Anolis sagrei: one gene and its partners. The protein of the gene in region 3 purifies or fractionates together with the protein of the main gene of each other region. This does not show direct contact. Links are inferred from orthologs where the notes say so. Each region holds a gene or a part of one and is shown on either strand. Other genes may lie near its edges.

Region 1 (10,048 bases), on a different chromosome or scaffold from region 3:
CCAGCATAGACAGGGCCAGATAGTCTCGTGTAATAACAAGAAAAAATGCCTATGAACCAAAGGTTCCCTCTTTCCACATTTCCAAGGACATGCACTTTCTCGATTTTTTTTTCAACAGATCTATGAACCAGAATGAAGCCTTACTTAGTTCAATTGATCCCCTCCCCCACAGGCGTCCGACAGCAGGCATAGACAAACTTTGGCCCTCCAGATGTTTTGGACCTCAATCCCCATAATTTCTAACAGCCTAGTTGAAGTTCAAAACCCCTGGAAGGTCAAAGTTTATCCATGCCTGATCTACAGTCAAATGAATGCAGCTTGACACCGCTTTATTTATATTTATTTATATCCCATGTTCTCTCTCAAAGTGGCTCACAATCATAAACATTACAACTTAAAATATACAAATATGCAATAAATATATATATAATTATATATTATATATTATCAGTAGTATTATATTTAATATATTAGTATTATTATATTACAATACTATTATTATAAATTATTATATTGTATTACAGTAGTCTCGCTTAGGAGCTATGTGGCATCTCCATAATGCTCGGAGCTTCCAGACCCAGCTATCATACTATTACCGGTAGTATTAACACACTACCAGTATATTATACTATTAGTATTATACTATTAGCTTTCCTGGCTATGGAAGTTGTAGTTTTACAAGATCCTTGAAGTTGTAGTTTTACAAGACAATGCAAGATACTCCATTTAGGCAGAAAAATGAAATGCAAAGAAACAGAATGGAGACGCATGGCTCGAGAACAGTACGTGTGAAAAAGATCTTGGGGTCCTTGTGGACAGCAAGTTAAACATGAGCCAACAATGTGACGCAGCAGCAAAAAAAGCCAATGGGATTTTGGCCTGTATCAATAGGAGCATAGTGTCTAGATCGAGGGAGGTCACACTACCCCTCTATTCTGCCTTGGATAGACCACACTTGGAATATTGTGTCCAATTCTGAGCACCACAAATGAAGAGAGATATTGACAAGCTGGAATGTGTCCAGAGGAGGGCAACGAAAATGATCAAGGGTCTGGAGAACAAGCCCTATGAGGAGTGGCTTAAAGAGAGGGCATGTTAGCCTGAAGAAGAGAAGGCTGAGAGGAGACATGGTAGCCATGTATAAATATGTGAGAGGAAGTCATGGGGAGGAGGGAGCAAGCTTGTTTTCTGCTGCCCTGGAGACTAGGACGCAGAACAATGGCTTCAAACTACAAGAAAGAAGATTCCATCTGAACATTAGGAAGAACTTCCTAACTGTGAGAGCTGTTCAGCAGTGGAACTCTCTGCCCCGGAGTGTGGTAGAGGCTTTTTCTTTGGAAGCTTTTAAACAGAGGCTTGATGACCATCTGTTGGGGGTACTTCGAAGGCAATTTTCCTGCTTCTTGGCATGGGGTTGGACTGGATGGCCCACGAGGTCTCTTCCAGCTATATGATTCTATGAAGGAGCGATGCGGCATCTCTGTAATGCTCGGAGCTTTCGGACCCAGCTATCAGACTGTTACAGTAGTATAACACACTACCAGTATATTATACTATTCGTATTATACTATTAGCTTTAGCTGCCTATGGAAGCTGTAGTTTTACAACATCCTGGGCTGGAGGTTTAGCACAGCTGGTAAATCATCAGCAATTATAAGATAGATCACCAAAAGGTTGCAAGTTTGAAGCCCCGAGTTGGCGTAAGCTGCCAACTGTTAGCATAGCTCATTGTTTACCTAAGCAAGTCAAAAACAGCTTTAGCTGTGATTAGAGAAATTAGGTACCACTAAAAGTGGAGGAGGTGTTGTACGACACCATAAAGAAAGAAGATCAGAAAATGCTGGGTGACCAAAAGGAAGGAGGAAGTCCTGACGGCTCTTCGTCAATCAGGATAAAGCAATAGCACCCCCTGGACTCAAGCCCAACCTTCTGTGGCACCAAAAACAGCTGAAACAAACCACCTCCTTCTGTTCTGTTCTGTTCTGTCTGTCTGTGTATTGTCTATACCAGGGGTCCTCAAACTTTTTAAACAGAGGGCCAGGTCACAGTCCCTCAAACTGTTGGAGGGCCAGATTATAATTTGGGGGGAAAAAAGAACTAATTCCTATGCACACTGCAAATATCTTATTTGTAGTACAGTAACAATTAAAAACAATACAATAATTAAAATGAAGAACAATTTTAACAAATATAAACTTATTAGTATTTCAGTAGGAAGTGTGGGCCTGCTTTTGGCTGATGAGATAGGATTGTTGTTGTTGTGTGCTTTCAAATCATTTCAGATTTAGGTTGACCCTGACTGAGGGCTGGGTAAATGACCTTGGAGGGCCGTATGGGAAGTGTGGCCTGCTTTTGGCTCATGATATAGGATTGTTGTTGTTGTGTGCTTTCAAGTCGTTTCAGACTTAGGTTGACCCTGAGCAAGGGCCGCGTAAATGACTTTGGAGGGCCGTATCCGGCCCTCGGGCCTTAGTTTGAGGATCTCTGGTTTAGGGTAAGGGTTTAGGCTTATGGTACAGTTCAAGGTTAGGGTTTCACCATTAAAGAACTCTTACATTCCTTCTATATTATCTGTCTCCAGCCTGGCTTACATTAGCTGAGTCTCTCTTGCGCAAACAGCGCTCTCGAAGGAGTGATGTGGCATCTCAGTAATGATCGGAGCTTCCAGACCCAGCTATCATACTATTACCGGTAGTATATTATATACTACAAGTATATTATAAGTACACTACAAGTACACTACAAGTATATTATACTATTAGTATTATACTTTATATTAGGTAAAGGTTGTCCGTAGACATCTCCAAGGTCATGTGGTCGGCATGACTGCATGGAGTGCCATTACCTTCCTGCTGGAGCAGTACCTATTGATCTACTCACATTTGCATGTTTTCGAACTGCTAGGTTCGCAGAAACTGGGGCTGATAGCGGAAGCTCACGCTGCTCCCTGGATTCGAACCTATGACCTTTCGGTCTACAAGCTCAGCAGCTCAGCGTTTTAACCCACTGCGCCACCGGGGGCTCCCCATACTTTACATTATATTTATTCTAGATTTATTATATGTTATATAATAGCTTTAGCTGCCTGTGGAAGTTGTAGTTTTACAAGATCCTTGAAGTTGTGGGGGTTTCTTTGTTATGCATTGTTTATTTTACAGCAGATACATAGTATTCAATACAGCCTACCATAATTTAACTTTTGGCATCTACTGGTTATTTTTATGCTTATACGTATTATCTATCTCTCACCACAAGAAGCACTGTCTGAACATTAAGCAAAAAGTGGGCGCTAGAAACAAAACATACGAAAGCTGACTAGCACAAACTGGGGATCACAACCATACACAGTGAAGACATTTGCCCTTGCGCTATGCTACTCTGCTGCTGAGTACACATGCCCAGTGTGGAACACACAGTGGATGTGACTCTTAATGAGACATGCCGCATTACCACAGGGTGTCTGCGCCCTACACCACTGGAGAAATTGCACTGCTTAGCCGGTATTGCACCACCTGACATCCGCCGGGAAGTAGCAGCCAATAGTGAAAGGACCAAGGCAGTGACATCTCCAGCTCATCTCTTGTTTGGGTATCAGCCAGCACGTCAACGACTTAAATCAAGACATAGTTTTCTTAGATCTACAGAGACACACGCTGGAACACCTCAGCAAGCGAGAGTCCAAAAGTGGCAGGCCCAAACCCAGCACCTCAATCCGTGGGTGATACCAGATGAGAGACTCCCCCCTGGGCACACAGAGGATTGGGCGACTTGGAAGGCGCTGAACATACTACGCTCTGGCATCACGAGATGCAGAGCCAATCTCAAGAAATGGGGCTACAAAGTTGAATCCATGACATGCAAGTGTGGAGAAGAGCAAACCACTGACCACCTGCTGTAATGCAACCTGAGCCCTGCCACGTGCATGATGGAGGACCTTCTTGCAGCAACACCAGAGGCACTCCAAGTGGCCAGATACTGGTCAAAGGACATTTAACCAACTACCAAGTTTGCAAAATTTGGTGTTTTTGGGGTTTTTTTGTTTTGTTTTTTTTTAATCTGTTTGTTTGTTTTTTTCTGTTAGAAATGTAACACAATGGTCTGGTTGCTGATGACACGATAAATAAAATAAATACCACTGTGCTCCCCTCCCTCCTCCCTTGAAGTTGTAGTTTTACAAGATCCTTGCCGAAGAATGCTTGTGCCCCACCAAACTACAAATCCCAGGCAGTTCAAAGTGGAGTCCAACTGCATGGATTCTACTGTGCAGATGCACCCCTTTCCTTGTCCTATTCGCCGTCTCTTCTGCATCCTAGGCCTTGAATTGCACTCACTTCGTGATAGCCAGACACACCAAAGCAGGCCCCCTCCACCCTCGAAAGCAGCTGTCTGGGCCTCTTCCTGGAAGGAAGGAGGGAGAGCGAGAAAGGGGGCGGGGAGCAGAAAGGGGCGGAGCCACCACCGCGGCCCACTCACCTGGGGAAGCGGGCCTTCAGCTGCTTCAGGCTCTGCCTGGTGGGGGCCACCTGGGCCAGGAAGAGGGCCACCTCTCCGTACTGGGCTTTGCTCAGCGGCATGCCTGCCTGCCTGCCTGCCTCCCACAAGCAGAGCGCAGCACACAGGGAAGCACCAAAGGGCAGACAAGGACTACTTTCTTCCCTTCCCCCGCTGCTTGCTTCCCGGCATACAGCCCTCGATGGCTCGGCCTAAGGAGCGGGGCAAAGCCTAGGCAGCCAAGACATGCCTGTTTCGAAAAAGGGCCTTGGCTCTCGGCTTCCCGCCCGCAGAAGGGCAGAAACCAGCGCCGCTCATGCGCTGCTCGGCGGCTCCGCCTTCGCCGTCGCGGAGGAAACGAAAGCGACGCTTTGGGCGGGAAAAGTCTCTCTCAACTGGAATGAATGGAAAGGAATGGCGGGGGCGGGCTTTTCGCCTCGCTTCCTTCAGCAACCCAAAGTGTCCTCCTCCCCTCTTGCTACGGGACTGTCCCAGCTCCAGTTTCTCTTTCTCCAGTTGGACTGCAACTCCCACCATTCCTAACAGCCAGGCATGGGCCAACTTGGGCCTTCCAGGTGTTTTGAACTGCAACTCCCACCGTTCCCAACAGCCAAGCATGGGCCAACTTGGGCCTTCCAGGTGTTTTGGACTGCAACTCCCACCGTTCCCAACAGCCAAGCCAACTTGGGCCTTCCAGGTGTTTTGGACTGCAACTCCCACCGTTCCCAACAGCCAAGCATGGGCCAACTTGGGCCTTCCAGGTGTTTTGGACTGCAACTCCCACCATTCCCAACAGCCAGGCATGGGCCAACTTGGGCCTTCCAGGTGTTTTGGACTGCAACTCCCACCATTCCTAACAGCCAGGCATGGGCCAACTTGGGCTTTCCAGGTGTTTTGGACTGCAACTCCCACCATTCCCAACAACCAGGCATGGGCCAACTTGGGCCTTCCAGGTGTTTTGGACTGCAACTCCCACCATTCCTAACAGCCAGGCATGGGACAACTTGGGCCTTCCAGGTATTTTGGACTGCAACTCCCACCATTCCCAACAGCCAAGCATGGGCTAACTTGGGCCTTCCCGGTATTTTGGACTGAGACTCCCACCATTCCCCGTAGCCATGCATGGTCAAACTTGGGCCTTCCAGGTATTTTGGACTGCAACTCCCACCATTCATAACAGCCAGGCATGGGGGGGGGGGGAGGAAGAGGCCTGACGTTGTTAGGAATGGTGGGAGTTGAAGTCCAAAATACCTAGAAGGCCCAAGTTTGACCATGCCTGATCTACACCCACTGAAGTCCTGGGAGTTGTTTGGTGAGGCACCAGCAAACACTCTTTGGCAGAGAAGGCCAGAATTAGTGCTGCGCTGTGGCAAAGTGGCATCAAGGTGCTTTATTTATTTATTTATTTAAAGTATTTATATTCCGCCCTTCTCACCCTGCAGGGGACTCAGGGCAGATACCAATGCAAACATTCAATGCCAACATATATAGACAGACACAGAGGCACTTAACATTCCAGCTTTTCCGGCTTCATGAGGGTATGCTCGATTCCGGCCACAGAGGGAGCTGCCGCTTCAGCACCCGCTTGTGACACCGAGTCCTTTGATGGAGTACTTCCTCATTCTTCTTCACACTGCTGGAAGGTTTTATGGTGTCGTAAATTAGTTAAATTAGCCTCCCTGCATAAAGCGGACCTAAATTTCGTACTTGACAGATGCAACTGTCTTTCAGGCTGCATAGGTCAACAGCAAACTAGACTCTTAATAGTCAGGGGCTTACTCCAACCGGGGCTGGCTTTGGTCATGATTTTGAAACCAGCCCAGGTTAGAGTAAGCTCCTGACCATTAATAGTCTAGTTTGCTGTTGACCTATGCAGCCCGGAAGACAGTTGCAGTAGTGATTTAATGGTCAGTAGTGATTTAATGCAGCTGGCTACTAACTAGCTGCGCCTCAGTCCAGCAATTAATTAATTCTACAGTGCAGAAGTACTCGGAAGTCATCCCAAAGAGTTCCTTTTGAGCAAATTGTTGTTATGTTTTCCCAGACCCCCTTTGCCTTCTCTCTACTTCTTAAAGGTAAAAGTAAAGGTTTTCCCCTGACATTAAGTCTCGTCATGTCCGACTCTTGGGGTAGGGTGGTGTGCTCATCTCCATTTCTAAGCCAAAGAGCCGGTGTTGTCTGTAGACACCTCCAAGATCATGTGGTTGGCATGACTGCATGGAGCGCCATTACCTTTCCGCTAGAACGGTACCTATTGATCTACTCACATTTGCATGTTTTTGAACTGCTAAGTTGGCAGCTGGGGCTAACAGTGGAAACTCATGCCACTCCTTGGATTTGAACCTGCAACCTTTCGGTTAGCAAGTTCAACAGCTCAGTGGTTTACCCACTGTGCCACCGGGGGCTCCTTAACTGTGTGTTTTTTTTAAAGAATCATCATGATTGCAAAGAAAGTGACGGAGGATGGAAACAATGCAGAGGAACTTGAGCTGGAAAATGCAGCCAATCTTCTATATCCACAGATTTTACACCCACAGATTCAACCATCCATGGCTTTGTTAGAAATTACAACCTTCTTCAAGTCTTCTCGAGCAATGTTTAGCTATGATCCTGTTGCTTATTGCTTCCTGTATATATGTTCTGGTATGCAGATTCCTTTTTTTACTCTATAGTTCACGAGAAGTTACAAAAGGGGCTGCAGACCAAATGATCACTATAGCACAGGAATGGGCAAACCTAGCCCTGGTTAGCAGAAGCAGCCCCTTGGACTCTTCCCAGGGCTTCCTCTCTCTCACCATCCTATCCTTCTTTCCTTCTCTCCTTCCTGCCCTCCCTTACATCCCTCTTCCTCTTTCCATCCTTCATTCACTTCCACCCTTTCTCTTTCCTTCCTTTTTGTCTTCTCTTTCCTCCCTCTCTCCCTTTCCTCTTTCTCTTTCCATTCCCTTCCACCCTTTTGTCATTCCTTCCTTCTCTTTCCTTCTTTCCTTCTTTCCTCCCTCCCTCCCTCCCTCCCTTCCTTCTCCTTTCTTCCTCTCTGCCTTCCCTCCCTCTTTCTCCCTCCATTCCCTTCCACCCTTTCGTCCTTCCTTCCCTTTCCTCCCTCCTTTCCTTCTTTCCACCCTTTTGTCCTTCCTTCTCTCTTTCCTCCCTCCTTCCCTCTCTCCCTCTTTCTTCTTCCTGCTTTCCTTCATTCCCATTTGTCTTTCCTTACTCCTCTCCACCTCCTCTCTCCCTCCATTCCCTTCCACCCATCCTTCCTTCCATCCTTCTCTTCCTCCTTTTTTTTTCTCTTTTTCCTTTCTCCTTTCTTTCTGGGGGATGTTTAGCTGGGAGAAGGTAGAGAGCAACAGATAATCTGCGAACCATTAAGGAAGAGGAGGAGGGGAAAACTAATTTTCTGTTGCTGTCTAGAGACCAGGACACAAGGGAGCAAAGGGTTCAAATGGCAGGGAAAGAAATTCGCCTGAAAAGATTAGGAAGAACTTCCTGGAGAGTGGCATAGGCTGCCTCAGAGTGTGGTGGAATCTTCTTCTCTGGAAGCTTTTCCGCATAAGTCTATTGGGAGTTCTTTGATGTGTCTTCCGGCATGGGCAGGGGGTTAGACTGGATGGCCCTTGGCGGTCTCTTCCAATTCTAGGCTTCTGTGATTCTATATCATGAATAGGCAATACGGGGTCTAATAGATATTTATTTTATTTACATCATTTTTACCCCACCCATATCAACCCAAGGGCGACTCAGGGCGGCGAACAATCGGCACAATTCGCTGTCATATATAAAATACATACATCAATAAAATTAAAACATCACATTACAATGTATCTAAAAACATCAAAACATTGAACAATAAAAATGTTTAAACTATGTCATCATGCTCCGTCCTCATTTGTTCCGTCGTCTTAGCCATTCCTAGGTCGTTTTCCAATTCAAGTTTATCTAATTAAGCTGAAGCTCCAAAAGCTTGCTTGAAGAGCCAAGTTTTCAGTTTTTTTTTTTTTTGAAAGGTTAGGAGGAAGGGGGCCGATGTGAAGGGGGCAGGGAGTTCCACAGCCAGGGGGCCACCACAGAGAAGGTCCTGTCTCTCGTTCCCGCCAGATACACTTTTTCTCGCCCATCCACCATCTCATCCTGACCAGTACCAACCCTTTTGGGATCCAAATGTTTCCTGTCTTTCCTTCACTTTCTGCCTCCAAGCCCCCTCCTTCCTGCCCTGCCCACCCCACTCTAGCCTGCCACAAGGTCCCCAAGTTAGAAAGTTTGCCCATGCATACTATAGTTGATTACAGACTACTTCAGACCTCAGATCACACACTTGTTTGCTATTTTGCTGTAAGAGATGTCCTGGCCAGGTGGCACATAGAATTATCTCAAGCATATCTGAAGGTGGATTGATAAGTTTTGTACGTGTGTATGCTGAACACATGAAGGTTGTGAGTATACCAAATAAGCTATTTTTTATCCAAGTCTACTTCATTTTTGTCTGTTGAGCGCATGATATAAAACAAGTTATTTTATGGGAGAGTATTTAGGCGATCCCTCGTTGGACGAGTAAGATGGTCTTCCATCATGGGTTTCCTTGTGGGTCCGCATGTGGCTGTGGAGCCCTATTCTTGCTCTGCATCTTCTTCCGCAGTGAGGGCATTGGTTTCCAGGTGGAAGGCGGTCCCGGTCGGGGTTGGCTTGACGCGCCTTCCTCCTGGCACGTTTCTCTCTTTCACCCTCCACTCGTGCCTCCTCGAATTCTGCAGCACTGCTGGTCACAGCTGACCTCCAGCTGGAGCGCTCAAGGGCCAGGGCCTCCCAGTTCTCAGTGTCTATGCCAGAGTTTTTAAGGTTGGCTTTGAGCCCATCTTTAAATCTCTTTTCCTGTCCACCAACATTCCGTTTTCCGTTCTTGAGTTCGGAGTAGAGCAACTGCTTTGGGAGACGGTGGTCAGGCATCCGGACAACGTGGCCTGTCCAGCGGAGTTGATGTTGGAGGACCATTGCTTCAATGCTGGTGGTCTTTGCTTCCTCCAGCACGCTGACGTTTGTCCGCTTGTCTTCCCAGGAGATTTGCAGGATTTTCCGGAGGCAGCGCTGATGGAATTGTTCCAGGAGCTGCATGTGACGTCTGTAGACAGTCCACGTCTCACAGGCATATAGCAGGGTTGGGAGGACAATAGCTTTATAGACAAGCACCTTAGTATCCCTACGGATGTCCCGGTCCTCAAACACTCTCTGCTTCATTCGGGAAAATGCTGCACTTGCAGAGCTCAGGCGGTGTTGTATTTCGGCGTCGATGTTGACTTTGGTGGAGAGGTGGCTGCCAAGGTAGCGGAAATGGTCGACATTTTCTAATGTTACACCATTAAGCTGTATCTCTGGCATTGGAGAGGGGGCGGCTGGTGACTGCTGGAACAGCACTTTGGTTTTCTCGATGTTCAGTGACAGGCCAAGCTTTGTGTATGCTTCTGCAAAGGTGTTGAGAGTGGCTTGTAGATCTTCTTCTGTATGCGCACAGACGACATTGTCATCAGCATACTGGAGTTCTATAACAGATGTTGTTGTGACC
Region 2 (10,042 bases), on a different chromosome or scaffold from region 3:
CATATGGCACCTTGTCTAATATCGATCAAATACATAAAGCAAAAAGAAGCCAATACACAGGGGGCCATGTTGACCTTTGCAAGCATTTTAGCTTCTCCTAAAGAAAGGGCAAATCTCATGGGGAGCACTGTCAAAAAGAATATTGTTTCTGTCATGTTAGCAGGTACCTTTGTGGGGAAAAAGGAGAGAGACTGAGGCTGCAATAGAAAAGACAAAAAAAAAAACCAAAACACCAAAGGAAGCTCACTTCACAGTGAAAAGATCCCTCCAAAATGGCAACAGTTTCTGAACACCACTTATTTTCACTAATCTGTTGTGCAATATTTACACTGGACTTTGCAGAAAATGCTTCAGCTGTACTTCATTAAAAAAATCAACCTGTTTAGCATGCCTTACACATGCTGATTTATTATCAGTACATGTTTAATTTTGGTATTTTATATATCTATATTCAATGGGTCAGGTAAAGATTTCTTGTGTGGAAAAAAAATAATAGTGCTCTATCACTTGTGCTAAAAATAGCTCTTTGTTGGCAGTTTTCTTCTTTAAAAGTAGATAAATGTATGTTCTATATCTGTGATCTTATAAATACATGAATATATGATTTGTGTAAGGTACATTTAAAGATTGATTACATTTAAAGATTGATTAATTCCTACAGGTAAAACACCAGGTTGCCTCAACATCTCTCTGGGTAACTATTGATCCCACTGTCCTGTGAGTAATACTGTCTATGTTTACATGGCACACTGTGTGCACAGTCTTTCACATGGTGCTGTAAAAATAGATCAATTTAAACCATGTTCACCACAGAAAATTGCTCTTAATAGCAGAAAAACTCTCACTCTGTCTCAATCTAATTTACTTGAATTAAGCAAACAAAACATTTTCAAGTCTAAAGCAGACTGTTGTTATGGCAGTACGTTACCAAAGCTATCAACACGTATTTTATTTTTAAATGAATGTTTCGCCACTTGCAAAAAAAGAAAATCAAAACCACCAATCAGTAACTTTCATAGTTGAATGGGGATTTTAATTTGAATCTGGGTTTGTTAGATCAGGAAGCCTACAAGATAGTCTTTAGCGGTTTTTGCTGTTTAACATGATTCTAATTGTCTGTTTTTTTCTCAAAATGAGAAAACTCAGCTTGGTATTTGCACTGAACTGAAAACTGTTTTTCAACCCTGAATTCGAATCGTGATGTGCATGGCAAGCACAGAACATGGCTTCTATGGTGGTAAAATAAAATAGCAACCTGTAATTTGCTTCTTACAAAGAATAAGAGGAGACAAAGAGCGACATGTACCGAAGTCTTGGCATTCTTAAAAACTAGTTACTATCACACCAAACAAAGGCTTGCCATTATATCTACTCCATTGCTTCCTGAAAAGCCAACCCAGATGCTACATCACACTTCCACAATAGTAAGTCAACTTCAGAAAAACTAGGTGAAAATGAATTGTTATTCAATTACCTTTTGAAAGTCAACGAATCGTGACTTGTTGGTGTCTAGAAGGAATCGCTTCCTATTGGCACAGACGGGGTTTCTGCAGATGTTGGGCTGTGTGTACTTGAACTGTTGCTCCACATCTTTGATCACTGTTTGGCAATCCAGGCACAGGAAGGTCCCACTTACCAGCTCCGGGTGGACAGGGTGGGTGCGAACCACCTGCCCGCTAATACACATCAGTGAGCCAATGCGAGCCGATGTCATTTCTCGGATTCTGTTGAGAGAATAAAGCCATCTTGAATGTTTTCCTCCACAAGCCAGACACATATATCACATAGTGATTACAAGCTCCACTACAACCTATTGCTTCCTACAGACAGTTATGTTTGGCAAGTATAATTTTTCTTTAGCTATGAATGAGAAGGTATCTTCTGTGCTTACATTGGTGGATAATATTATTTGTAAGTGCATCTACAAAAAAAGAAAAGAAATAAATAATGCAGTATGACACCACTTGAACTGCCCTGACTCAGTGCTATAGAGTCCTGAGAGTTGTAGTTTTATATGATTTTTTTCTCTGCCAAAGATTGTCTCAGGAAACTACAACTCCCATGGTTCCATTGCATTGCACTGTGGCAGTTACAGTGGTGTCAAATTGTACTAATTTTACAGTGTAGATGCCCCTGATGACACCTACAAAATTTTGCTCTGTGATGGTTCCAATGTTCCAAAGAACATGAGTTGTTGACTTTCATTTATATTCTCACTCACATACACAGTAACGAGAAAACATTTATGAACCTTATATGGTCGTCACATATTTTCAGTTTAAAATGTTATATGATCTTAACCTAACCCTAAAATACTAGGCAAAGAATATATAAAGATAAAGGTAAAAGTTTCCCCTTGACGTTAAGTCTAGTCGAGTCCAAATCTGGGGGGTGGTACTCATCTCCATTTCTAAGCAGAAGAGCCAGCATTGTCCATAAAAAAAGAAATTATGCCCCCAAAGTTTCGTGAGGTGGCATCACTCCTTTTGAATTAACCATGCCACCATAAAAGAGGAGCTAATATACAGGAGGATACATAAGAGATAAGATGTACAAAAAACAAACAAAAAAACCCTCAGCACTCATGAAAATTAATAAACAAGAGAGAGGCTATACAAAAAAACCTCACACATAGCTAAAGCAATAGGACAATCTGCTCTGGTGCCCTATATGTTCAGAGGCCTTGAACTGTGATCCAGCATTCACAATGGATCTTCTTGCCAAGCTGAATACTTTTATCTTCCCAATAGAAACCACACTTCATGCTCACTATCTTCAGAGATGCTTACTTGTGCCTAGAAGGCAGGTCTTGAAAAGCCACATAGAAGTCCTTGTTGGGAGGGACATTTCCGTGGTCTCTGGCAAATGTCCTTACAGCTCGACATAAGTAAGGATAGACTCTGAAACGAAAGCAAGATTTTAGTGATACAAACTTTTCTGGCTTTAGACTTAAGAATTTCTTCAAAAGGCATCAAAGTGCATGGGAGTGTACCTTATTAGCAAAGTTTAAATGAGCAAGCCAACAAATGTATTTGACTTCAAAAGAACTGTGGTGGGACTGTGGCACAGCTGGCTGGGAGTCAGCTGCATTAAGATCACTACTGACCAAAAGGTCATGAGTCTGAAGCCAGCCCGAGTCGGAGTGAGCTTCCAACAAATTTTGTAGGTTGCTGTCAACCTTTGCAGCCTGAAATACAGTTGCATCTGTCAAGTAGGAAATTTAGGTACCGCTTATGCGGGAGGCTAATTTACGACTCCATGCAAAGCATGCAAAGAATGAGGAAGTACTTCATCAGTGTCACAAATGGACCCTGAAGCAACAGCTCCCGTGGTGGCCAGAATACCCTCATGAAAAAAGCTGGAATGTTATATAGCCTCTGTGTGTCTGTCTATATATGTTGTGTGTCTATGGCATTGAATGTTTGCCATGTATATCCGCCCAGAGTCCCCTGCGGGGTGAGAAGGGCAGAATATAAATACTGCAAGTAAATAACGAGATAAATAAATAAATAGTTTATATCTTATTTTTACATCATGTTTTTGGAACAAAATGTGCTGAAATCAAAGTTTTTTTGTTGTTTTTTTAAAATCCTGATTAGTTGACATTTCACTTATCAGAATAAAAAAAATCTCATAAAGTTGCTTTAAGGAAGCAAAAAATATTAAAAGGGATTTTTTTCATTGCCAAAATATGTCCTCTATAGGAAATGCTTTAGGTGATTCTGTTTTTTTTTTTTTTTTGCCACAGTCTCACTTGATACTTGTGGCCCTTCCATACAGCCATATATATATATCAAGCCAGAAAGTCCCACAATATCTGCTTTGAATTGGGTTATCTGAGTCTACACTGCCATATATTCCTGTTCAAAGCGGAAAATGTGTGATTTTATTCAGCTGTGTGGAAGGGGCCTCTGTCCTCCAGCATGACTCTATGGCAACATCCAACAGAAGTAGTTCATTTCAGTAGTGTTTGCTTTTTCCCATGAGAAGTCCAGTAACGTATCTCCCACAGATACAAACCTATTACTAACTTCAAGTTCCTTAACACCTTGGATAAAGTTAGTGATAACACAAAAAGCAGGTCAATAAAGAAGTTGGGACAGTCTCACCTGTAGAACTCCTCCTGGATGGTGGTCGCAAGCTGCTGATTAGCCTGCTCCAGGTCCTGAAAGCTTACAATTAATGTGTTTCTCTCTGGGCGGATCAACTCCTCGGCATCTCTCAAGTATTTAACTCCGCCATCACTGTCCTGGAACCTGAAAAAGGCAGTGTTTCAGGGAAGAGCTTTGCAAAAACATTTTCAAGATGTAATGCAAGTATAGAAGAAAAAACAACAAAGCATTAATGGGGGAAACTGATCCATTCAGACAACTGAGGCAGCTCTAATGCTTAATGAATGCTAGCAAACTAGCATAGACTAGGGGTGCCTCTACCCCAGGCCTGGGCAAACTTGGGCCTTCCAGGTGTTTTGGACTTCCACTCCCACCATTCCTAACAGCCTCAGGCCCCTTCCTTTCCCCCCTCAGCCGCTTAAGCGGCTGAGGGGGGAAAGGAAAGGGCCTGAGGCTGTTAGGAATGGTGGGAGTGGAAGTCCAAAACACCTGGAAGGCCCAAGTTGGCCCAAACCTGGGGTAGAGGCACTGGAGGACTGCAGCTCCCAGGATCCCCAAACCAGGGAGGGCCCACTCACTCCTCGAGGAAGTCCTGGAAGAGCTTCTGGCACTTCTCGGCCACCTCATCGCGGATCTGCTTGAGCGCCGCGTTGCCCGCCGCCGCACCAGCCTCTCCTGCAGCCGCCAAGTCCATCACGCCAATACCAGGAGAATGGAAGGGATTTCGCGCCACCAACCCGCGCCGCGCCCAATCAGAAGCCTCCGCGCCTGGTGCCCCGCCCCTTTCGAATGTTACGCCGGCAACTTTTTCGCGCCAAACCAGAGGAAACAGGAAGCGGAGAGAAGAGGGGTGGCTGTGGACGTTCTTCTTAAAGGGGCCTCCCCAAAGCCGGAGGACAAGAATTGGAGACGGTGGGGGAATGGTGCTGTCTTCACGGGCGCCTTTTACCTCTCCTCCAATTGATCTACATTGCTGCTTTCGAACTGCTAGCTTCTGGTTGACCAAAAAAGGCAGATTAAAACCCTTGACTTAATCCTCCTGGCCTGTTATGCCTCAAATGTGTAGCATTTTTATTTTATTTTATCTGAAGATGCTTGCCATAGATGCAGGCGAAACGTCAGGAGAGGATGCTTCTAGAACATGGCCACATAGCCCGAAAAACCTATAACAACCCATATTTATTTATTTACAGTAGGTAAAGGTTTCCCCTGACATGGAAGTCCAGTCGTGTCCAACTCTGGGGTGTGGTGCTCATCTCCATTTCTAAGCCGAAGAGCTAGCGTTGTCCATAGACACCTCCAAGGTCATGTGGCCAGCATGACTGCATGGAGCACTGTTACCTTCCTGCCAGAGTGGTATCTATTCATCTACTCACATTTGCATGTTTTCAAACTGCTAGGTTGGCAGGAGCTGGGGCTAATAGCGGAAGCTCACGCCGCTCCCGGGTTTGAACCTGTGACCTTTCAGTCAACAAGCTCAGCAGCTCAGCTCTTTAACCCACTGCGCCACCGGGGGCTCCTGCCCTTTTCACCCCGCAGGGACTCAGGGCGGATCGCAATGCACATATACATGGCAAACATTCAATGCCATAGACACACAACATATTTATTATTTGGTTTACTTCTACCCCGCCCTTCTGACCCCGAAGGGGTGACAGACGCACAGAGGCTATTTAACTTTCCAGCTCCATCAGGGTATGCTTCGAATTCCGGCTATCAGGGGAGTTGTCGCTTCACTGTCTACTTGTGACACCGATGGAGTACTTCCTTATTCATTTGCATGCTGCTGGAGATTTTTTATGGCATCGTAAATTAGTTAAACTACCCTCCCCGCATAAGCGGCACCTAAACTTCCTACTTGAAAGATGCAAATGTCTTTCAGTCTGCAAAGGTCAACAGCAAGCTAGACAAATGGTCAGGAGCTTACTTCTACCCGGGCTGGTCTTGACCTCATGACCAGTAGTGATTTTAATGTAGCTGACTCCCAACCAGCTGCGCCACAACCTGATCCATAAAGAGGGTTGTGCAAATTATGGAGTAGCTTCATTTTGCTTTCAGTAGGAACCTTTAAGTTGGACCATATTTTTGGCTGCAATCCCCATTTGGCTGAACAATATAAAATTATGACAACATCAGATCGCAGTGCAGATATTATCATTTCATATCTGGCTACAGGGAAATGCTTCTGTAGTTTTCCAATGTCAATGCTGCCAAAAAAAAAAAAAAAGCTTGCCAATTAAAGACAAGGAAAAATGTGGCCAGGTTGCCTTCCTCCATAAAAAGATCTTCATTGTTAATTATTTTTGTTAACTAAGATATAACAAAAATCTTTAACTATGATGGTCTTTTTTATGGGCGAGGGCAACCTGGCCCCCTTTTTCCTTATCTTTAATTTTCAAGATTTTTTTTGCAGCACTGACATTGGAAAACTACAGAAGCATTTCCCTGTAGCCAGGTGTGAAATGATATCACCACTGCAATCTGATGTTGTCATAACTGTATATTGTTTCACCAAATGGGGATTGCAGCCAATAATATGGTCCAACTTAAAGGTTCCTACTGAAAGGACCACCCTTCTTGAACCATTTGTACAGGCTGTCTATCACCTTTGCAAGAGTTGGTATAAGTAACAAAGATATTGCTTTGTAGAATTTGTCCCTTCTGTGTGACAAAGTAATAGACACAAGACAAGAATTTTGCGATAACATTATTTTGTTCTGCATCATGACTTTCCAAAAAGCCTTTCAGCATAAAAGTCAATGACTTTATTGGGATGAAGCATTCAGAAATAAAAAAAAGATTATTATCCAGCGATATTACCAGCTCTGTATGGGGAAAGGTAATTGAATTTGATTGATTCCAGTTGGATTAGCTGAACAAACCATTCTTCCTGGAAACTGAATTTAAGAGAAATAAATCTGTGGTAATCAGCTGCTTATAATCCACTTAGTAAACCTAAACACAACTAAGAACAAGAGTAATTCTATTTTTTTCTGGGATTATGTCAAGGTTTAGTATTCACAGCTGGTCTGTTGGCTAAGCTGATTTCTTAAGCACGTGGTTTTTCAGACCTTAATTTCTACACTTTTGTTTCCTTCCACCTTTATTTCAAGGTATAATAAAACTGTAACAGAGTTCTGTCACAAAATATTAAATAGCATTTGATCAGATAGCTCTTCCGAAGTCTCTACAATTTGCACACACCAGCTCTTGCCTCAGGATTTTTAATTAACAGCAGTGGCCACTGAAAATCAGAATGACATGGCTCTAAACATACAGCCACCTATTGTCACATTTTGTATCAAGGCCTCATGTCTCAGGAAATACCTACTATTTAGGACAGGCAATAAAAAGAATATGCATAATTTCTCTGTGAAATAAAATAGAGTGACAGCGTAGAGCAGTGGCTAGAGGTGGACTATGACTCTGGAGACCAGAATTTTAATTCTCATATCACAATAGGATGTGTGGATTGGGAAGCCAGTCTATTTTAGATGTTTAACTTATTATATATTAAATATAATTTTATACATCTCCTTCTCTCTCTCTCTCTCTCTGAATTAATGTGATTCCGTCACACCTTGCCAGCATTTACCACACAACTTGGCTAGTATATATTGGGGTCCAGAGTATATAGAGAGGGGTCTAAAAGCTAAACGATTAGGATGGGTGAAAGTAGCCAAAGAGCTGGACTTGTAGGGTCAGACTGTGGAGGTTGCTTGTTAGAGTAAAAATAATCTACTTTGTTGAACATAAATGAAATATGCTTTTGTTGTAAAAGATCCCAAGAATGGTTTTTTCCTAAAATATTAACAGATGGGCACGGAAATGGGGATTTTAATAGGAGAAAGAAAGGAGATCAAATGAGAGCAAAGTCAGCTCAGTCATTGTGTAAGTTATTCACTATATAATATCATATGTTCATACTAGCTAGGACAAGCTTCCTAGATAAATGAACATATAATGACATTTTAAAGAGTGGCATCAGTATGTAATGATGTTTTTCAAGGTACCAGGAGCTTGCTGCAAGGATATTAATCTGAAATATAACCGAAATCAACAAAGGATGGGCAGGAAAGTCCAAGTGGGGTAAATAAGGAAACCCACAGTAATACATGTCTAGGCCTAAATAAGTTAATAGCAGTTGTGTATAGGGTTGCATTTTTTTAAAAGAACCCATTGTTGTAGATCAGCCAGGGACTGATGATTTAGAGGGGATTGTTAGCTTTCTTGTGGCACAAAGTGATAGGCCCTCAAGTCTGGGAAATGATGGTTCTCTTTGTGAGGAAACTGGCTCGGAAAGTGCAGGGCCACAAAGCCAGTCAGGAGAGCCAGAAGTAGCATCAGTAGATAAGGAACTGAGTGAAGAGCTGAATGATAAGGAGGGTTTCCAGGAGAAACCACCTGTAGCTATGGGGATCAACAAAAGTTTTTGTTTACAAATCAGAGCCAAAAATAGATTGTGTCGTTCAGAGAGATTACATGGGAAAGTTGTAGAGAAAATTTACAGGGGATGTGACACTTTTATGGGTGTCTATTAAACAAGTTGTTTACCTTAAGGGCAGTTCAGGCAACACTGCGTTAGAGTGAGAAGCTAAGCCTGACTTCCCTGGTTCAAGTTAACTCTTGGTTTTGGATTTAATATATCCTGGAAGTTTTCTATGTTCCTGTTCATGTACTCCTGTGCAAGTTTTTACTAGCTATACCTTCTTGCTTGTGGACTTCACACTGTACCTGTGATTACTGGCTGTTCCTGGACTTTGTCACCTCTGGAACTGTATGAGACATTTGGATTATTGTTTGGTTATCACCTGTTGCTAAACCTTTTGGGATTATATATCTTCCTTTCTTATTCCTGCTTTTTATATGCTTTTATGTGTTTTACAATAAACTGTTTGCTTATATTCCTGGACTTTTGTGTGGCGCGGTGGTCATAGGTGTTTCCATGCCTGGAGTGCAACACACGTGTATTTCAAACTATTTTCATACTTTAGCTTTTTGAAGTTCTTCTGTGGGGCACATGAGCTCTTTTCTCCAAATTGACAAAATGAAAGCTTTAGGAAAATGTCAGGGATAGAATCATGTACTTGAGCATTCAAGCTTTGAGTTACAGCATATTGCTGTCTTCTTTTAATCTATCAGTTTATTTTATTTTTTCAGCATTTATAGAGCTATATAAATTTAAACTAATTTTGCCCACCTGCCCCATTACAAAGTAATAATAACAAAACTAATAATAAAATATTAAAATAGACTTCCCACTTCCCACACAATGAAAAAAAAAGTTACAATCCTGTCAATCTATCATTTTAGACACTTTCTTCATTCTACCTTATTTTTTCAATCTTCAAAACTCCCCTTTTTCTTTATGAATAATAGAAATGTTCCCACTCTTTTAAAAAGACATCAGCTGACTTCTCCTTAATTGAGCAAGATAACTTGTTCATTTCTGCTGGTTCTGTAATATGCGCTACTTCATGGTTTTTGTTCATTTGTTTGGAAGCCCCAGTAAAAATAATGTTGGATCTAATTGTAATCTGATTTTAAATATCTCTTGTTGCCAATTTTGTATCCATCTCCAATATTCTTTTGCTTTGTCCCACGCTCACTCACCATATACGATAGTTATATTGCTTTCTAATGAAGCCAACCAAGCAAAAAATATGATCACTTTAGTAATATATGGAACTATAGAAACCTAATTGAATTATTCTTAGTCACATTTATATCCCCCTCCTCTTTTGAGAAGGCCAAATAGCACAACTGAGGTATAATTTGATTTTACCTTCATCAGCCCTGCATCAGTAAGGCTGGTCACTCAAGTGATACAAAAAGCTGAATGACTGAGTCAAGATTACATTCATTATATCCTTCATAAGGTAAATCACTACTGCTGCAAACAACTTGTGGGTTTGCTAATTTAGATATAA
Region 3 (10,239 bases):
GCAAAAGATCTTGTCTGATCTTGAAAACTAAGCAAGAGCAGCCCTGGTTACAACTTGGATGGGAGACTGTCTTTGAACACCAGGTGCTGTAAGCCGTATTTCAGAAGAAGGAACTAGAAGAACACCTTGAGTCTTCCCAGTATAAGAAAAAATGTGGAGTTGCCCTAAGCTGACATGTGACTTGAATCACATATACACACAAAAGTGAAAATAATTGTAGTGAACCTATTGGCTTCCATGTTTTTAGATTCCCGTTACCATTATTCCTGATCACTGGCCACACAGCCTTAGTCTGTTCCCTTATTCTCCTCTCTTCCCACCATCCACTCTTTTGGACTTTCCTCTCCTTTCTCCAAAATATAGTTGATAGCTTACTTCAAACAAAAACATATGTCTCCCAGCTGGAACAGGTCCCACCAACACTGAGTCAAGAACTTGGTCATATTCCTCACTCTCTGCAGAACCCACATAGATGATCTTCCACTCCAAGTCTGAAAGATAAAAATGTAGTCAGCAGAACCGTAGGTACTATAATCTTCGATCTCTGTGGGAAACATATTTATCCCCATCCTCAGAAGGCAATACACTAAGGAAAAATTGAGTTAATGTCAGTGTTTGAAGAACTATATATACACATGCTTGCAGAATGTTCAAGAGCTAGGCCGAGGATGTAAGAATAAGCAACTGTCAGCTCTTCTAATTTCCGATGCGTTGTAACTTCTGGTAGACATAATTGCATTTCACCAAGCCTGGGCAGGGAGAGGAAAGTCCCCTTCAACAGATGCAACTATCATAGAGTAGCTGAGTTAATTAACAATCAATTTTGTGAAACCCATTTTCTTTAGGGAAGTTGGACACAAGGAGAGCTGTCTGAGAGTTTACTGCAAAAGCGAGACAAACTCTAATTGACCCATGTCCATCACATCACCAAGACTCTTTTCCTAATCCTTAGAGCACTTTTGGAGCCTTTAAAGGAGTGTTTCCATTTTTTAAATGTGGACAAACATCAAATAAATATGCATGTGAAGCTCTCAGATTTTTTTAAAAAAAGAACTCCAGGCAAGTTGCCTGAAGCATGGAGGAGGAACAAGACTGACAGTTAACCCTGAGTTCAGCTAGAACAAGTATACATCTATCATGCAAATTACAAAGCGGGAGGAAGCCCGGATCTCAACAGGGGTAAAGAATCTGCTGCAGTTTCTCTTTAAATATTATGCCTGCCTTCAGCCTTTATGGATCATCTCATTAGGCAAAAGTCAGGAAACACTGTGTGCAATCTGCTATAATAGACCACCGGTGTAGCAGTGAAGGTTAATGCTTCTCACATGTGATACTGCTAGTTACAAGAATGTATGTACAGTATATCTAAACATCAGGGGTCACAAGTAGGCAAAATGAAGCGTATCATGTTTTAACACCAAAAACAAGGGGAGTCAAAAGGGACACTGGAGAAAAGGAAGAATGACGAAAAGTAACAAAGAAACGTAGCAACCTGAATGGAATCTCAACTTTGCAATATGTGTTTGTTTTCAAGAATGTTTACAGACATGTTGTATTTTTGTTTTAGAGCATAGACAACAGTACCAAGGCACCCTAAACATGGCACCATTTATAAATTGCTCACCATTTATGAATATTTAGGAAAAGGACCTGGACTATCCTGAAAGGGGTCAGCCCAGATCTTTCTACTACAACACTGATAATAATAATGATCCCCCCCTACTATCCCTGCTCAGTCTGCCCCAGCTTCCAAGACCAGATAAAAGACCAAAATAGTCAAAAGCCCTAAATGAATTCTAGTCTACCTCCCAGAATTCTGGATTTTAATATGACTTGTGGGGATCATTCCATGAGGGGGAGAAAGCAGCAATGCTACTTCAGGGGGGCATACTGGCATGTCCTTGTCCAGGCATCCAAAAAGGCCAGAAGCAGCACCATGTCAAGAGGGAGTGGAGGGGGTTGCTGCTGCTTTTAGGTCGGACTAAATTCATGCCTTTTGCCACTTTACCACTGAGAGAGGAGAAGGGTTCTTATTTTAAAATAAGAGTTAAGGTCCAATACTCACACTGACCAGTGATAAGCTGGCCCAGTTTTTTATATAGGGTATGCTAGAGAACAGAAGTTCAGAAGGAATTTGATTTTCAATTTCTCTGTCCAGATTCAAATTCAAACCCTTTCAAATTATGTAGGCCGCTATAAGTATTTTTAAAAAGAAAATCCACGTATTGAAAATGGGCAGATTTATTTTCATTTCAATTCCACTGAATACAACTTACCCCAAGCGCAAGTATATTAGGGCTCACATATAATATATATCATGAAATGGCCAGTGTTGGTGAAAAACATATGCAATAATAAGGATGTTAGTATTTGAGGTACCAAATGACTTTTATTGCTAATGCACCTACCCCTCCGGAAATAGCAAAAATTGAAGAAACCAAATGTGCACAGTGAGAAGCCAAGTACTATTAAAAACTGCAATAGTCCCTCCTATTTTAAAGAATGATCATTGTTGACGTGTTTGTGTTGTTTTGGGCACTGAATGTTTGCCTTTTTTTCTGTGTGTGTAAACTGCCCTGAGTCCCTTCAAGGAGAGAAGGTGGTCTTGAAATAAAGTTTTATTATTATATATGGTCAACATTCACCACTTTTACCAGTTAACAAAACCTCTCTTGTTATAATAACAGCGAACACAGCTGCTGTTTATAAGGAGAGAAGGGCATTTAACATGTTCTCTGCAAAGATGCAGCATGGCCAAGGGCAGAGTATAGGTATTCTACTCAACACTAGTCAACGTGGTGGCCTATACACCAATGCCAGTCCCTGGTGAGCTTCCAGGAATGAAACAACTGTAGCCAGTGATCATTAATATGATACCATTCCCTGGCACATTTTGAGTCAGAAACTACCAGTTAATCACATCAGCTGATCGGGTGTGAATTATTAGCAATTTTCTCATCAAATGTGCCAGGGAATGGTACCATATTCTGCCACTTTGTGTCTCATTAAGAGAGTTATAGCCTTCTTTGGACAGAGTGGCTGGCTTCATGGGTGTAGATTCCAGATTACTTCCTTTTCACTTTTTCTCCCCTAAATGGGTGCACATGGTCCTCTCCTTCATTTTTATCCTTACAACTACCATGTCCTGTGTGCTATGTCCTGTGTGCTTTTCCACTTGTTTGTTTATGTGACCCCAGGCATATGGGTGTATAAAATAGGTATAAAAATGAAACATTTACAGATAACAAGTCAACATTTGCAGGGTTTGCTAAACAAGCTAATTTCCCTTTTTTGTGGAGTACAAGCTGAGACATTTTCTGCAGAGTCCACTGTAAACACTGCTTGTTGTTGCTAACAGATTTTTGTAAATGGGTGGTTTTCAGAAAACTCTTACCATGGCCAATTTTTTGTGACTCCAGCATTGAGCAAAGGGGACTCCATTTAGGGCTGGGAGCAACAGTTTATGTGGCACTGAGCTATACTAAAGAGCCACCTTCTGTTCAGTCTCTGGGCCAAGCCCCTGGTGGCACAATGGTGTGCCAACAGGACTGCTGACCGCAAGGTTGGCAGTTCAAATCTGGGGAGCGGGATGAGCTCCTATCAGCTGCAACTTCTCATGCAAGAAGCCACCCACAGGATTGTAAAACCTGGTTGTGCAGGCCTGAACTACATCATTAGGAAAATGTGATTAATATGAAGACATTGGTTATTATGTTTTTAATGGGGTGAATGTAAAAAGAGGGGGAAATGTATAGTATATGTCTGTATAACTGTATTTTCTCTTCTCAAATAAAATTTTTTGAAAAATAAATGCTTTTTATTGTATCTTGTGAATTGTTATGGCATCAAATTGCTGCCAATTTGTAAGCCATTTTGAGTTGCCTTCGGGCTTGAGAAAGGTGGGATAGAAATATCGTAAATAAATAAATAACAAATAAAAGCTCTAGGTGTCCCCTGGGCAATGTCCTTGCAGGTGGCCAATTGCATTTTCTCAAGGAAAAAAAGATGTATTTGGGCCCTATCACGCTACACAGTGATAAGGAGATTCTTCCACTTTAACTGCAATGGCAGCATCCTATGTAATCATGGGATTTGCAGTTTAATGAGGGGCATTGGGAATTCTCAGCCAGAGAGCTCTTGGGCCTCACTAGACTACAAACCCCAGGATCCTATAAGATGCCATGGCAATTAATAATAGTGCTATAACAATGCAGTGTGGCAGCAGGGCCTTTCCCCTTGCAGAAACTTCTCTATGCTACGCCACCCCACCTTCGTAGGAGGCCTTTTGGGGCCTGCAGGGTGGTTCTGGATGTGTGCACGCGCCTTCATCCTACCACTCAAGGCAGGCCTCATCCACACTAACCATTTAATGCAGTTCCAAACTGCAGCGGCCAAACAACAAACTCCCACAAAAAGAGCGCGAAAAAAAGCCCTTGATGTGCTCCAGTGCTCTGTGGTCACCATCTGGGCCTCAAACTGAACCCAGGAGTAACCACTTTCTTCCATACTGGTTCGAAACTGAATTTAAATCGTCAATGTAGACGGGGCCTGAGTGCCGAGCTCGTGGTTTTCTCAGCAAGAGGCAGTTTGGCAAAGTCTTAGCGGGGAGAGAGGGGGGGGGGAGGGCAGGGCGGTTGGCGGGGCTGGGGGCACTCACCGTGGGGCAGCGCCTCTCCGCACTCGAACTGCACCTGGAAGCGGAGCGGGTGGCCGAAGGGGCTCGGGTTCTCCAGCAGCGACACTCCCAGGACCGACACCCGCGCCATCGCAGCAGCAGCAGCACCCACAGCCGCCTTGCTCCTTCCTTTCCTTCTCGGAGCTCCAACCGCTGCCTTGCCGCCCTCGCCCCCGCCAACCACTCACACACATACTCCGCGCGCCACCGGCTGAGTGACAGATAGACCCCGCCGCCAATCCCCGCAAGGCACTCCGACCGCCTCCGCCAATCGGCTTGCTTCGCGCCTGAGTTCATCCGCCTACTCTTCCCGCGGGGCCACGCCCACTCTTCCCTCCACCAATCCGCCGCCTGGGTTTTGTCCCTGGCGGGAGCTAAACCTAAACAATCAACGCTTGCGCCCTCCTCCCTCCTTGTCCTCTCCGCGCGCCAGTCAGTCTCCGGCCGCCCAACCGCCAATCAGCGCGCGCTCTGCCGCCTCCTTCCGCGCGCCCGAAGAAGCGGCAGCCAATGGAAAGCGGACTAGAGGGCCAGCGGGTTCCACGTCATCGCCAGGCCCTTCTGTTAACAGGAGAAACCCGATAGCCTTGCCAAAGGCAAAGGGAGCAGGGGAGTTTGGGCTCCCAGCAGTTCATCTGGCGCTCGGTTTCCGTTCGCCAAGGGATAAAAGATATCACAGAATGGGTGAAAGAGCGTTCTCAGACTGGGTACATCTATACTGTAGAATTAACGCAGTTGGACTCCACTTTAACCTCTATGGCTCAGTGCTATGAAACCACGGGGTTTGTGCTTTGGTGAGGCCCCAACATTTTGGATGAGAATGATATATGTGAGTGTGTGTGTTTTAATCTATGTATTTTCATGTTCATTTGTTTTTGAATTTATTGAGGCAGATAAATAATAATAATTATTATTATTATTTGAAACACAACAAGATGAGTCCACAGCAGACAAGATCACTCTGCTGGCTGTTGAATTGGATCACACGGACACTTTCCAAGTGTCTAGGACTGTGTGATGTATCGGCAAATAATGCGTGCAAGTCCCAGTAAGGTGGCCTTCTGCAGCTGGAAGATGGTAATTTTGTCAGTGCCGATTGTGTTTAAGTGCAGGCCAAGGTCTTTAGGCACTGCACTCAATGTGCTGATCACCACTGGGACCACCTTGACTGGCTTATGCCAGAGTCTTTGCAGTTTGATCTTTAAATCCTCATATCGTTCAGCTTTTCCAGTTGTTTCTCTTCAATCCTGCTGTCACTGGGATTGCAACATCAACAATCGACACTTTGTTTTTTAACACAATCGTGAAGTCAGGAGTATTGTGCTCCAAAACTGTCTGTCTGAATTCGGAAGTCCCAGAGGAGTTTGACGTGTTCATTCTCTGTAACTTTTTCCGGCTTGTGATCCCACCAGTTCTTTGTCACAGGCAGATGGTATTTGTGGCACAAGTTCCAAGGAATCACCTGAGCAATGGTGTTATGCCTCTGCTTGTAGTCTGTCTGTGCGATCTTCTTGCAGCAGCTGAGGATGTGATCTGTTGTTTCATCTGCTTCCTTGCAGAGTCTACATTTGGGCTCTGTTGTCGACTTTTCAATTCCGGCTTTGATGGCATTGGTTCGAATGGCTTGTTCTTGGACTGCCAGAATCAGGCCCTCCATCTCCTTTTTCAAAGTTCCACTTGTGAGCCACATGTTTTTTCTTTGTCAAATTATTACTATTATTATTGTTATTATATACCTTATAAAACTTGAATTCCCACGATTCCATAGTATTAAGCCATGGCAGTGAAGGCAGTATACTGAGCACCCTTGGGCACACTATGTCCCAAACTGGACTTCCAGATGTTTTGGATTTCAGCTCCCAGAATTGGCCAAACAGGCTGGGGCTTCTGGGAGCTGAGATCTGACTGAAGGTGAATGCTTCAGAACCATTGGCTTGGCAGAAGCTGCAAGATCACATAAGGAGATTTGGTTTCATATAAGTAAAGGGTAAAGGTTTCCCCTGACATTAAATCTAGTCGTGTCCGACCCTGGGGGGTAGTGCTCATCTCCATTTCTAAGCCGAAAAGCCGGTGTTGTCCATAGGTCATGTGGCCAGCATGACTGTATATAAATACTTGCATTGCCTAAATGTCAGTGGGGCTATTGCTCCCCTTCTTCATCCCTTCTTTTTCTTTCCTCCCCTCATCTCATACTTTCCCACTTTCCTTTCTCTTCCTTCCCTTCTTTTTCTTTCTATTTCCCTCCTTTCCACTCATACACAGGCCGCCTTCACTTAGCAACAGTTATTTCAGTGACATCGCAGAGGACAATTCACCTAGCAACAGCCTTTGTGGTACAAATAAACAAACATGCATATATGCATTGACTTTTATACATATAGATGTAGATACTATCCATATCTACAACAGAAGGAGCTAGTGTGATATCGTGGTTTGAGTTGGGGTAGGATTCAGTAAGAAGAGGCTGAAAGGGTGAAAATCCCGGTTCACTCATGGGGCACATCTACACTGAGCATTTAATGCAGTTCCAAGGCACCTTGAGAGTGTTGTGTTTAAATGATGTATGCCTCAAAGATGCGCAGAAATGTGCATTAAGGGCTCTAAACAGGAATAAACAAAGCTGGGGATACTCCGAACTGGAGCTCTTAATGCAAAGCAGCACATGGGAAAACCGTTTAAGGGGCAGGCACTCCACATGTGTCTTGGGGTGCTGGGAAACAAAAACACCTGTTTCCCCCCACTGCTGTGAAGCTGCAGATCCTCAAACCAGGTCAAAGCCAGCCTCTGCAATACGTATAGGCAATGTCCAGGCCTCAACCCAGTTCCAAGACTTCACATGTAATCACATTGAACTTGCTTCTTCCTCTGCTGATTCCACAATTTTGGATTTCAGTGTCTGGGATTTTGAAGGGATGTGCAACCTGTCATGGAGGGAAACCTTTGACTAGTTGGAGGAGCCCTGCAACTATTTATCATATCAGAAACAAATTGAGACTACAGTTATCATGTATAAAAAAACACAAAGTTAAAAACTTGGCATTATGTTAAATTTCCTTTAACCAGAAGCTGACCACTTAAGTGCCTCTTTTGTCGCTGTAAGAAGGTCGTCCGTTGTGCATGTAGAGGACCTTCTCCATTCTTGCATGCCGTGGACTCCACTTTTTGTAGCTCCGTTTCTTAAGGTTGGCTCTGCATCTTGTGGTGCCAGAGCACAGCTTGTCACCCAGCCTTCTGTGTGTCCAGGAGGGAGTTTCTCATCTGGTATCAGCCACTGATTTGAGGTTCTGGGTTTTAGCCTACCACTTTTGGACTCTAGTTTGCTGAGGTGTTCCTGTGAGTATCTTTAGATCTTAGGAAGCTGTTTCTTGATTTAAGTCATTGGCATGCTGGCTGATATCTAAACAGGATGGGCCTTCAGCCCTGTAACTGAAGGTTCATCACTTCTGTGGGAGAGCCAACAGTTCATTTTCAGAGATGGATGAGAAGGTTACAGTTCTGTTGGTCAGATTGTTTTTAAAAGCAATCAGATTTCCTTTTAAAGAAATACAAAACTAAAGCCAACCTTTTAAACTGCAGTGTGGCTGTGGGCTACAGGTGCACAGGAATGTCACAATTCTTGCTTTACTGATAAACCTAATGTTAAATAATTGGTTGGGCATATATTGTTTGTGCATTCTACATAAAATTTGGTTGAATTTCAGGATTGTTTGGAAGGTCTTTAGACTTGATTCAGAAGAAATGTGGTCTGTGAAAAGAAAGCATGTTGCTGTAGAATGAAATACATTGTTGTGTGCCTTCAAGTATTTTCTGGCTAATGGCAACCGTAAGGCAACCCTATCATGGGGTTTTCTCTGTAAGATTTATTCAGAGGGAGGTTACCTTTGCCTTTCTCTGAGCATGACAGAATATGACATGCCGAAAGTCACCTAGCTGCAAAGTGAGGATTCAAATACCTATCTCCAGAGTTGTAGACCAAAGCTCCAGTCACTACTCCAGATGGGCTCTAAACATGACCAGCATTGAATTTAATTGGTTTGTGCTCTCCTGAACATGCAGCAGTAGCACACACAGGTATCCCTGTATTGTGGATTCCAATTCAGAAGTGTGGACTGGTATCAAAGGCAGCAAGGCATTGCCTCATAAACCTTTGAAGGATGAGCTTCATCCAATTTCATATTCAAATCAACTTGAAAATATTGCCGCTTCACCTTTGATGACATCTGCTCCTCATCATGAGATGAGATGTCCCTGAACAGGTCATGCTGGCTTTTAAAAATTTCTAACCAATGTTTGTACAAGCTACACTTGTGTTTCTTCTTGTGAGCATGCATTATACTGTGATAAACCTCTCCTAGAATGTTAGATTAGATGCAGATCAGGGTGAGGAATATGTGGCCTTCCAGTGGTTGTTCAACTGCAGTTTCCATCATTCTTCATTATATGGGGGATAAACATGTTCATATAGAGATGAGATTGGAAAGTCCTTGATGCCTGAAAACTGAGCATGTCTAAGCCCATTAATTTCAATGGGTTAGAACATGAAGATTTTCATGAGATTCAGCCCTGAAGGATTAAAGACTGTTTAATAAGATCAGTAGCTTGTTCTAAACTTGTGTTCAAGTATTCAGTGATTTACTTCTAATCTGCTACGATGGTGTGACTTTGCCAGTTACTTAAATCTCATATTCTACCCTCAATTAGGATAAGTTCAAGACTGATTCTAGACATCTCTATCAACTAAAAGGCTATTGATGAGAAAAGGAATTAATTGTTTGGCATGTCATACTTCAGTGAGGTATTTGTTGCCTTCTGCCCTTTGCTCCCACATCTTAGTGTAGGGATTTGAGAATGAAAGGTACAGATCAGGTCTTTGTTCTTGGATGAAATTGACCATTTGGATTCATCGCAGTCTGGCTTCAGACCAGGTCATGGAACTGAGACAGCCATGGTCACCTTAGAGGATGATCTCCGTAGAGAGCTTGACAGAGAGTATGCCCCTGTTGGTTCTCCTGGGGTTGCCCTTTGATACAGTAGACCATGGTATCTTTCTGAGTTGCCTCGCAGGGATGGGTCTAGGGGGGAAATGTTCTGCAGTGGCTCCGGTCCTTCCTGGAGGGAAGCCATTGTCCTGTGGTGTCCCGCAGGGCTCGGTATTATCCCCCATGCTGTTTAACATCTACATGAAGCCGTTGGGCGAGATCATCCAGAGTTTTGGAGTCCGGTGCCATCTGTACACAGATGACGTCCAACTCGTATTACTCACTTCCACCAGATGCTAAGGAGGTGGCCCAAGTCCTGATTGGCCACTGTGACAGTCTTGATGAGGGTGAGCAAATTGAAGTTGAATCGAGACCAGACATAGATCCTCCTGGTCAGTCACAAGGCTGAACAGAGTATATGGTTACAGCCTGTGCTGGATGGGGTTACGCTTCCCTTGAAGGTGCAGATGTGCAGCTTGGGACTCCTGGACTCATCCCAGGTTTTGGCAGTGGCCAGGGGAGCTTTTGCACAATTAAAAATTGTGCACCAGTTGCACCTGTACCTTGGTAAGTCAGACATCATCA

Evidence for each region. The genes of interacting proteins can lie anywhere in the genome.
Region 1: the proteins of ASF1B (region 3) and CDIN1 purify together in Homo sapiens (affinity purification with mass spectrometry; 4 studies listed by BioGRID and IntAct, counting the BioPlex papers as one, with this or other methods). This does not show direct contact. The link is inferred for Anolis sagrei from reciprocal best matches to the Homo sapiens genes ASF1B and CDIN1.
Region 2: the proteins of ASF1B (region 3) and MCM6 purify together in Homo sapiens (affinity purification with mass spectrometry; 4 studies listed by BioGRID and IntAct, counting the BioPlex papers as one, with this or other methods). This does not show direct contact. The link is inferred for Anolis sagrei from reciprocal best matches to the Homo sapiens genes ASF1B and MCM6.

What each region holds. Positions count from the first base shown.
Region 1 is NC_090021.1:293,734,534-293,744,581, forward strand, and holds the start of CDIN1 (CDAN1-interacting nuclease 1), read right to left. Parts: upstream 4,851-10,048; 5' UTR 4,575-4,850; coding exon 4,474-4,574; intron 1-4,473. UniProt on the Homo sapiens protein: Plays a role in erythroid cell differentiation.
Region 2 is NC_090021.1:213,784,305-213,794,346, reverse strand, and holds the start of MCM6 (DNA replication licensing factor MCM6), read right to left. Parts: upstream 4,851-10,042; 5' UTR 4,807-4,850; coding exon 4,691-4,806; intron 4,257-4,690; coding exon 4,110-4,256; intron 2,901-4,109; coding exon 2,790-2,900; intron 1,725-2,789; coding exon 1,475-1,724; intron 1-1,474. UniProt on the Homo sapiens protein: Acts as a component of the MCM2-7 complex (MCM complex) which is the replicative helicase essential for 'once per cell cycle' DNA replication initiation and elongation in eukaryotic cells.
Region 3 is NC_090022.1:112,852,355-112,862,593, forward strand, and holds the start of ASF1B (histone chaperone ASF1B), read right to left. Parts: upstream 4,904-10,239; 5' UTR 4,767-4,903; coding exon 4,658-4,766; intron 492-4,657; coding exon 376-491; intron 1-375. UniProt on the Homo sapiens protein: Histone chaperone that facilitates histone deposition and histone exchange and removal during nucleosome assembly and disassembly. Cooperates with chromatin assembly factor 1 (CAF-1) to promote replication-dependent chromatin assembly.